Linked DNA regions of Cricetulus griseus. The protein of the gene in region 1 interacts with the protein of each later gene in a biochemical or structural test. Links are inferred from orthologs where the notes say so. Each region holds a gene or a part of one and is shown in the gene's direction. Other genes may lie near its edges.

What was found.
Region 2: the proteins of Nsf (region 1) and Napa form a complex in vitro, tested with the Homo sapiens proteins (2 studies listed by BioGRID). The link is inferred for Cricetulus griseus from reciprocal best matches to the Homo sapiens genes NSF and NAPA.

Annotation. Positions count from the first base shown.
Region 1 is NC_048600.1:116,949,375-116,953,188, reverse strand, and holds part of Nsf (vesicle-fusing ATPase), read left to right. Parts: intron 1-2,184; coding exon 2,185-2,340; intron 2,341-3,814.
Region 2 is NC_048602.1:10,775,667-10,779,480, forward strand, and holds part of Napa (alpha-soluble NSF attachment protein), read left to right. Parts: intron 1-968; coding exon 969-1,015; intron 1,016-1,558; coding exon 1,559-1,636; intron 1,637-1,812; coding exon 1,813-1,868; intron 1,869-1,938; coding exon 1,939-2,023; intron 2,024-2,677; coding exon 2,678-2,782; intron 2,783-3,787; coding exon 3,788-3,814. UniProt on the Homo sapiens protein: Required for vesicular transport between the endoplasmic reticulum and the Golgi apparatus. Together with GNA12 promotes CDH5 localization to plasma membrane.

The DNA of each region.
Region 1 (3,814 bases):
TACAATGCAGTCACCAAAGCTGACAAGTTCACATGGATTCCCTGCTGCCACCCAAGGTGCTATCTTTCCTCAGATTCCACCAGGTTTTCCATTACGGCCTCCCTCTGCTCTAGAGTCTTATTCAAGATCATCCCGCACTACACGGAGTTGTTCCGTGGGACTCTTCCCATCTCTGACACCTCCTCAGAATTTCATGATCTTTTGTGACCCGTCAGCCCCTCAGCTAATTGCTTTGTTAAATGAAATACCATCACTGTTCTTTAGTGATGGAGTGACGAGTGTGTGCTTAAACTCCTCCCAGCATATTTAGCTTTTGCTTACTTGCCTTGCTTTGATATGTTAAAATAATGCAGTTTAATCTCTCAGAATAGCAACTCATTTAAATAATGATGTGCTAACTGGAATTTATGGTTGACATAATTATGTTCATGTCTGTCCCAATGGAACAGAGAAGTTTTTCATTGGCTGTCCAAAGTTACTTGACTTTGTTTAAATGTGGGTTATTGTTTTTGTTTTTGTTTTTTTTAAATCAGTAATTTACCAGTCTCTATTGCAGTTTGTCTTTTACCTTTTTTGAAAAAGACTCTCTTTTCCATTGTGTGGTCTGTGCACTGAATACAGTGTACGGAGGCCGGAAGACAGCATCAGATCCCCCTGGAACTGGAGTTGCAGATGGTTCTGAGCCTTTGAACATGAGTGCTGAGAGCCAAACTCAGGTCCTCTGCAGGAACAGTGTATCACAGTAACTGCTAAGCCATCTCACCAGCCCAGACACGCCTTGAAAGTGTGGACCTCTTGCTCTGTATGCTCTGCATGCTAGGATTGTGCCACTGTGCCTATGGATAAGCATTCACTAAGACAAAATTCACATTCTAAATTTCATTTTATGACTTACCTTATGTAGTTATTGTGTGGGGGCATAGGCGTTTGGGCACATGTGACATGTTACATGTGCTCAGAGGATAACTTTGGAGAGTCAGTTCTTTCTGTCTGTGAGGGATGGGATCAAACACAGGTTATCCAGTTACAAGTGCCTTAATTCACCAAGCAAGCCACATCAGTAACCCTTAATTTGCTTTTCTTTGCTTAACATGTTTCAAGGATCTTAAATATATCTCACATTATGATTTTAATGCCCACATATATCCCATTTTTAAGATAGATGTATTGTAATTTCCTATTATGGACACAGGATGTTTATGATGTGATTTATTTATATTTTACTTTTGCATGATTTTTGTTAAAATATCTTATCCCAAGGCAATTCTATAGCGTTTGGACAGTGTAGGTGTTTTCAAGGAACTTATGAGATGTGATTTCAGTTGGAAAATGAAATTGCAGTAATTTGGCATGCAATGAGTCTGACCACAAGAGGGCAGTAGAGCATAATAAAATATTTTTGATTTCCTTCTTAAAGGAAATCTTAAGTCTGCAAAACTAACCAGAAAATTATTATCTGCAAATTTTTTAATGTGATATTTTCTCCCTCAACTTCATAAAGTCTATGTTTCCCCTTTTGTTTAGAGTGTGCCAGGGTACCCTGTTCTTTGTGTCTGAAAAAGGTGTGGTTCTCTTGAGTTACCTTAGGTGGCACTCTGACATCTAAATTAAACAATTTTTATCTTTATGAGAGAATTTGTAAGTATAACTTCTGCAGTCATTAAAGCCTTTAGAATGTTTTTAGACTTTTGTGTACCTGTGACAAGACATCAAACTCATTCCATACATCCTAGGCTGAGGGGCTATCTGCCGCCATACGCTTCCCCCGGGTAAATACATACATCTTATATCCACTTACCAGGGGCTGTGAGCCAGTGCTCAACGTCAGCTACATCCCTGGAGCTGGTGGGATCTGCGTCAGATACATGCATGGTGTTTCCTTTCATCAACTAAGTTACTTTAGTTGGATTAAAAGTTAATGAATCGGAATTCCGTGGGCTGACTGCAGATAGACTAGACTAGCATACGTTTAGTTAGTTTGGGAAGTTTATTACTGACCATGAATGGAGAGCAGACAAAATAGGTAAGTCAGTCATACCCTTCTCACTGGAAAAACCAGCCTAGTGCGTGCTGTCCAACTTTATGGAACAGCTGTGTGTCAGTTCACTTAGGTCCAGGGGGCATCTGTCCTTTTTATACTTAACCCCGCTGTTTTCCTCACAGATTTGTATTTGTTTGACACAGGCAAAGCTAAAACCAAGGAAAATCGCCAGTCAATCATCAATCCTGACTGGAACTTTGAGAAAATGGGAATCGGCGGTCTGGATAAGGAGTTTTCAGATATTTTCCGACGAGCATTTGCTTCTCGGGTGTTCCCTCCGGAGATTGTGGAGCAGATGGGTGAGTTTCTGACCCAAGGCTGGTGCTCCTGAGGAAGCACACAGCTGACAGACGCTTGCCAAAGTAGTTCTGAAATGATTTTTCAAATCCACCTGAGTAATACTGATTTTAACTTCTTTAAAAAAACAAAAAACAAAAAAAAAAAAAACTTGTTTCATGAAAAAACTTCAAAATATTTACTCTTATGGGGGAAATAATAGAAATAATACAGTTGTTCCATTTTATTTGTTTAGTTTAGTGTTTTTCTGTGGGCAGTTTTAGAAACAGTACCTCATTCTGAAGACCTACTGTGGGTCAGACTTACCTGTCCAACTGTCACTATCCATCCCTGTGGACATTGCACGGACGCTGGCTGCTTTCCGTGTAGTTCTACCTTATGGCCCCATCAGCACTTCCTCGAGTCTAGTAAATGGATACTTGGCAAGGTTTTTAATTAGATAAGTCTGATCCCCAAAGACAAATGCAGGAGACATATGGGAGTTTCCGTACCGCATGTGAAGAAATACTCGTTATCTTCATTTGTCACTTTTCTCCTGAAGGTTTATTTAATTTATCAGTGTGAAGTGATTTTCTTTGCCCAGTGGAAATACTGTCAGAACTGTTTTCATATCCGTATCATTCGCTGGGTTGGAATGTGAACAGCCGAGTATCTGAGAAAGGAATTCATAATAGCTTCTTGCAGACCAAGTGTGAAAACAGGATCCAAAAAGGTGGAGGAATACAAACGCACTGCTTCCCTCTCCTTCAGTCCTTCTCTTTACACTGCTACCGGGAGATAATAGTATATTCATGGTGGGTGAGAGCCGCTTTCCGGGCGCTGAGCTCTGGGCTGCATTAGCTGTCTGGCTCGGCTGCTTTTCTGCCTGGTTGCTCACTCTGGTAAATTACAAGCATAGCACACACCTGTTCACTGGGTAAAGGTCGAGTTTAGAATTGGATTAAGTCAAAATGACAGAGACCCTCATCACCTGAGTTTTCTACACCTTGAAATGGCAGTGACATACTTCTTATCTGGAAGATACAAAGGCCAAATCCATTTTTTTTTTTTTTTTTTTTTAAAGCCACTAGCTTGGAAAGTTGGAAGAAATGTGGCATTCACTGTCCCTTAAAGTGTATTTTGAGGACCGGTAAATCCTTAAGGTGTTTTGATCAAGACATGAAAATGTTATTTAAATATATTTTAGGTAAAAATGGAGTTCTCGGGATAGTTCTAAATGTTGCATTAGTCTTTGGACTATTTTTACCGTGTTCGTGACTGAGGGCTGGGAGAGGGTTCAGTGTCTTTGATGGTTTGTGGGGTCTAGCCAACAAGGAGGAGAGCAGCTGCTCCTGGAGGGTGCTGTACCGTGAGTGTGTTACTATAAATGTCTTCCCACTACTGAGGAACCAGTTGTTCAGGCATTGGTGTCCCGTGTGTGCCGGCCCTCCGACTGAGGCTGTGGTGTTAGTGCATCGGGGGGCAAGCCCTGCCAGT
Region 2 (3,814 bases), on another chromosome or scaffold:
AGAGCAAGGGGCCAGCATAAGAGGACTAGGCCCTGTGAATCCATGTTTCTCCCCCACTGCCGTGGCAGGGACTGTCCCACCAATAGAGCCTATGCCAACAGACCTTGGCTACCGAAGTCTCCTCAAGAAGTAGCCTTAGCATCCTCATCCCAAGAGAGTCCAGTCCACTCTCAGCCCGGGGGCAGTCCTGGAGCCTTCCCAGCACAAGCCCTCTGGCCCACCTGGACCCTCAACCCCGTGCCTCCCCCAACCCCCATCCTGAGATACATTAAAGTAGTTAAAAGATACTGAGAGCTCGTTTCCATCTGCTAGAAAATGCCTCCCACTCACGCCTCTCTCCTCCAAATAACTTGTCCAAAAAAAAAGCCTTCCCCAAATTTAAAATCTTGGAAGAGATGGTACAACAAAGGTAGCCTGGTGCCATCCTAGTGTTGGATACAGCTTGTTATTTGAGCAGCCAGCAGGGTCCCTGCTGTGTGGTTGAGGGCATTGAGGAAAGGACAGTGCTCTTCAGCACTGGGGATGCAGAGCCCCCATGGAGGGGCCCTAGTGCTCGTGGCATCCATCCTTCTCTGCCAGAGAGGCCAGGCAGGGCAGTCACAAGGATAGGACCTACTCAAGGTAGAGCCTCCAGGACAGATGGTGGGCTTGGTAGCCTCTGCCCAGTTCAGCCTGGCCATCCATCAGTTTGCCCTTTGACAGCAGGGCTGTGGTAGTCTGATTCAAACTCTGGGGGAGTCTGGCGATGCCATTGTGCCCTGATCCCACTGGAAAGCTGGAAGTATGGCTCAGGTTGCCTGGGGCCTAGGGCTCCCATCCTCTCCTTCCGGTTGCTCTGAGAGAGCCCAAGAGGCCTGAAGCCAAGGCAGCTGCGTGTCTGGCATCTCCCTTGGGGAGCACAGGCTACCTCCTGTCTCCAGGATCTGCTGTAATGACCTCTCCATCCTCATCTTCTCTTTCCTCCCTAGAGGCCATTAACTGTCTGATGAGAGCAATCGAGATCTATACAGACATGGTAAGGGTTGCTTGCTGGTCCTGTCCTGTCTGTGCTGTGCTGTGCTGTGCTGTGCTGTGCTGTGCTGTGCTGTGCTGTGCTGTGCTGTGCTGTGCTGTGCTGTGCTGTGGGAGGCAGGGAAGTTGGTGGCTGAGCTGGGCTGCAGGATGGGTGTCTGCTGTAGCACACAGCACCCCTCACATGGTGCCTCTGCCCCCTTGTCCATCCCCTCGTTACTACAGTGCCCACGCAGGTGCTTCCTCTTGCCTCCCGCCCTCCCTCCCCCACCCCCGGGTTCTAGGGTACTGTCCTGAGAGACAGCTGCTGGGTAGTAGGCCACACTAGGCCACTGCTCCTGTCAGTTCATGACCGTCCACCGACCCCTTCCTGAGGTGGAAACGCCAGGGTGCTGGGGGTGAGACTGGTCCTAGGCACCCTTTCCTGAGGTGGACACCCCAGGGTGCTGGGGGTGAGACTGGTCCTAGGCATCCTTTCCTGAGGTGGACACCCCAGGGTGCTGGGGGTGAGGAGACTGGTCCTGGGCATCCTTTCCTGTGTCCCCAGGGCAGATTCACGATTGCAGCCAAGCACCACATCTCCATCGCTGAGATCTATGAGACAGAACTGGTGGACGTGGAGAAGGTGAGCTGGGGTCAGGCTGGCTGTGCTGGGGCCTCTGGTGCTCCCGGTCCCGGCCACCGTGATGCTCAGGGGGAGGAGGGCTCCTGCCGTGCGCTTGCGGAAGGCAGGGAAGCTGTGCTAAGGTGTTGCTCCACGCTGTCCTGCACTCCACTTGCCCCATCCTCATGTCTCCTCAGGCCATCGCCCACTATGAGCAGTCTGCAGACTACTACAAAGGCGAAGAGTCCAACAGGTAGCCCCTCCCTAGCCTGCCCCTCCTTGTGGGACCCGCCACTGTCCCTTCATGCTCCTCCTCCCCACAGCTCAGCCAACAAGTGTCTGCTGAAGGTGGCTGGCTACGCCGCACAGCTGGAGCAGTACCAGAAGGCCATCGACATCTATGAGCAGGTGGGCTTCGCCTGGCTGTCAGCGCCTGCCACCACACCCCCTCTGCCTGCCCCACTCAGTCCTCACCCTCACCAAGTGCTTCTTCACCCACAGCCTGTGCATGTCACCACCTTGTCCTAGACGGGTCCTGCCACTCGCTTCTAACAGGAGCTGCCCCAGAGCTGGGTGTCCTCAGCAGAAGTGGGGCAGGAGGGAGAAGCAGAACAGAGCAGGGACTCTGGTCCTTGGTTAGCAGCAGGTGTCATCCGCCCCAGTGACACCGTGCTGTGGGGAGGGCCAGGCTGTGGCCAGAAGATAGGCAGGCAGCTGGTCCTGGGAGAGGGGCGGGCACTGCTTCTCATACTCCCACAGCTGCCACCCTCTGCCCACCAAGTGCCAATTTCCTGTATGGCTGGCAGTGGTGCCTCCTCCCCCACTGACTTGCTGCCAGTGAGGCCCACAGACACCTGGCTTCCCCTACTCCACCCACACCCTCATGGTGTCCTGGTCATTCTGGCAACACTTGGTGACCTTGCTGAGCTGCCCCTGATCCCTGTCATCCTGAGGTCCCCAGGCCTTCCCCTAGGATACAGGCTTAGCTCCTAGCAGACATCAGTGCTGCAGTGACCTTCACTCTTGAGTCCTGCCTGAGCTCATGGTGGTGTGTGACTGTAGGTAGGGACCAGCGCCATGGACAGTCCCCTCCTCAAGTACAGCGCCAAAGACTACTTCTTCAAGGCGGCTCTCTGCCACTTCTGCATCGACATGCTCAACGCCAAGGTGAGCCCACGCCAGCCAGGACGCCTTCACAGGCTGCCACCGTTTATAACCAGGCCAAGTCACTTCTCAGCGTTAGAGGACAGTTTCTCCACTTGGCCCTTGCCCTTTGGTTAGGATGGGAACTAATTTGGCATTGGTGTTACTCGCCCTGGTGTCCCTGCATAGGCCTGGATGCTTTTGTGAGTTCCCAGCTGCTGGCTGGCTCCTTGGTGGCCTCTTCCCCTTCGTGGGTTGCTGTAAATCCTGACTGTCCCATTCAGTTGTCACGTGGATGCTGCTGAGGCCAAGGCACAGTTCCTGCCAGGCCCTGGGATTCCTGGTGGCTTGGCTTTGACTCTGGCTCCGATTTTCAATGCTTCCTGGCAAGAGAGGTCAGGGATAGGGAGGGCAGTGGTTGGTGGAAGGGTCTGCAAACTGGGTGTTGGATATCAATCCTCGGGTGCTTCCGGATCAGACCCCTGGGGCTACATGATGTCTGCCTGAGTACAGCTGGCAGCTTTGCATTTGGGGGAGGTGAAACAGTTTGCTGTTTTTAGTATTTGTGGTGGGCACGGAACCCGAGACCTCATGGGTACTGTGCAAGAGCTGCCACTGAGCCATATCCCCAGCCCTCACCCATGAGTTACGAGCACAGGTCCAACCCGAGCCCCTCCTCCCTCCCCCCCCGCCACACCCACCCACCCACTAGTTTCCCCAGTGTGTGTTTTCCCACTGTCACTTAACCCCCCAAGGTCCTCACAGGGGTTGTGTGTGTGACGGCCTAGCCGTGTGGGCCTGGTGTGTGGGATGGGCTCTTCTGTCACCTTCCCCACCCCCTGCCTGGGAAGCCTGCCTCTTTCCTGCAGCCATCTCTGCCAACTGGATTCAGCTGACTTGGAGATGGTACCATCAGTCACAAGTCAGGTGACCCTGGCAGGGCATAGAGCATCAAATCAGAACTGCCATGAATGCTTTTCAGTGCCTCAGTCCGTGTTAGCTTTTCTTACCCTCTCTCCCATGGCTCAGCTTGCTGTTCAAAAGTATGAGGAGCTC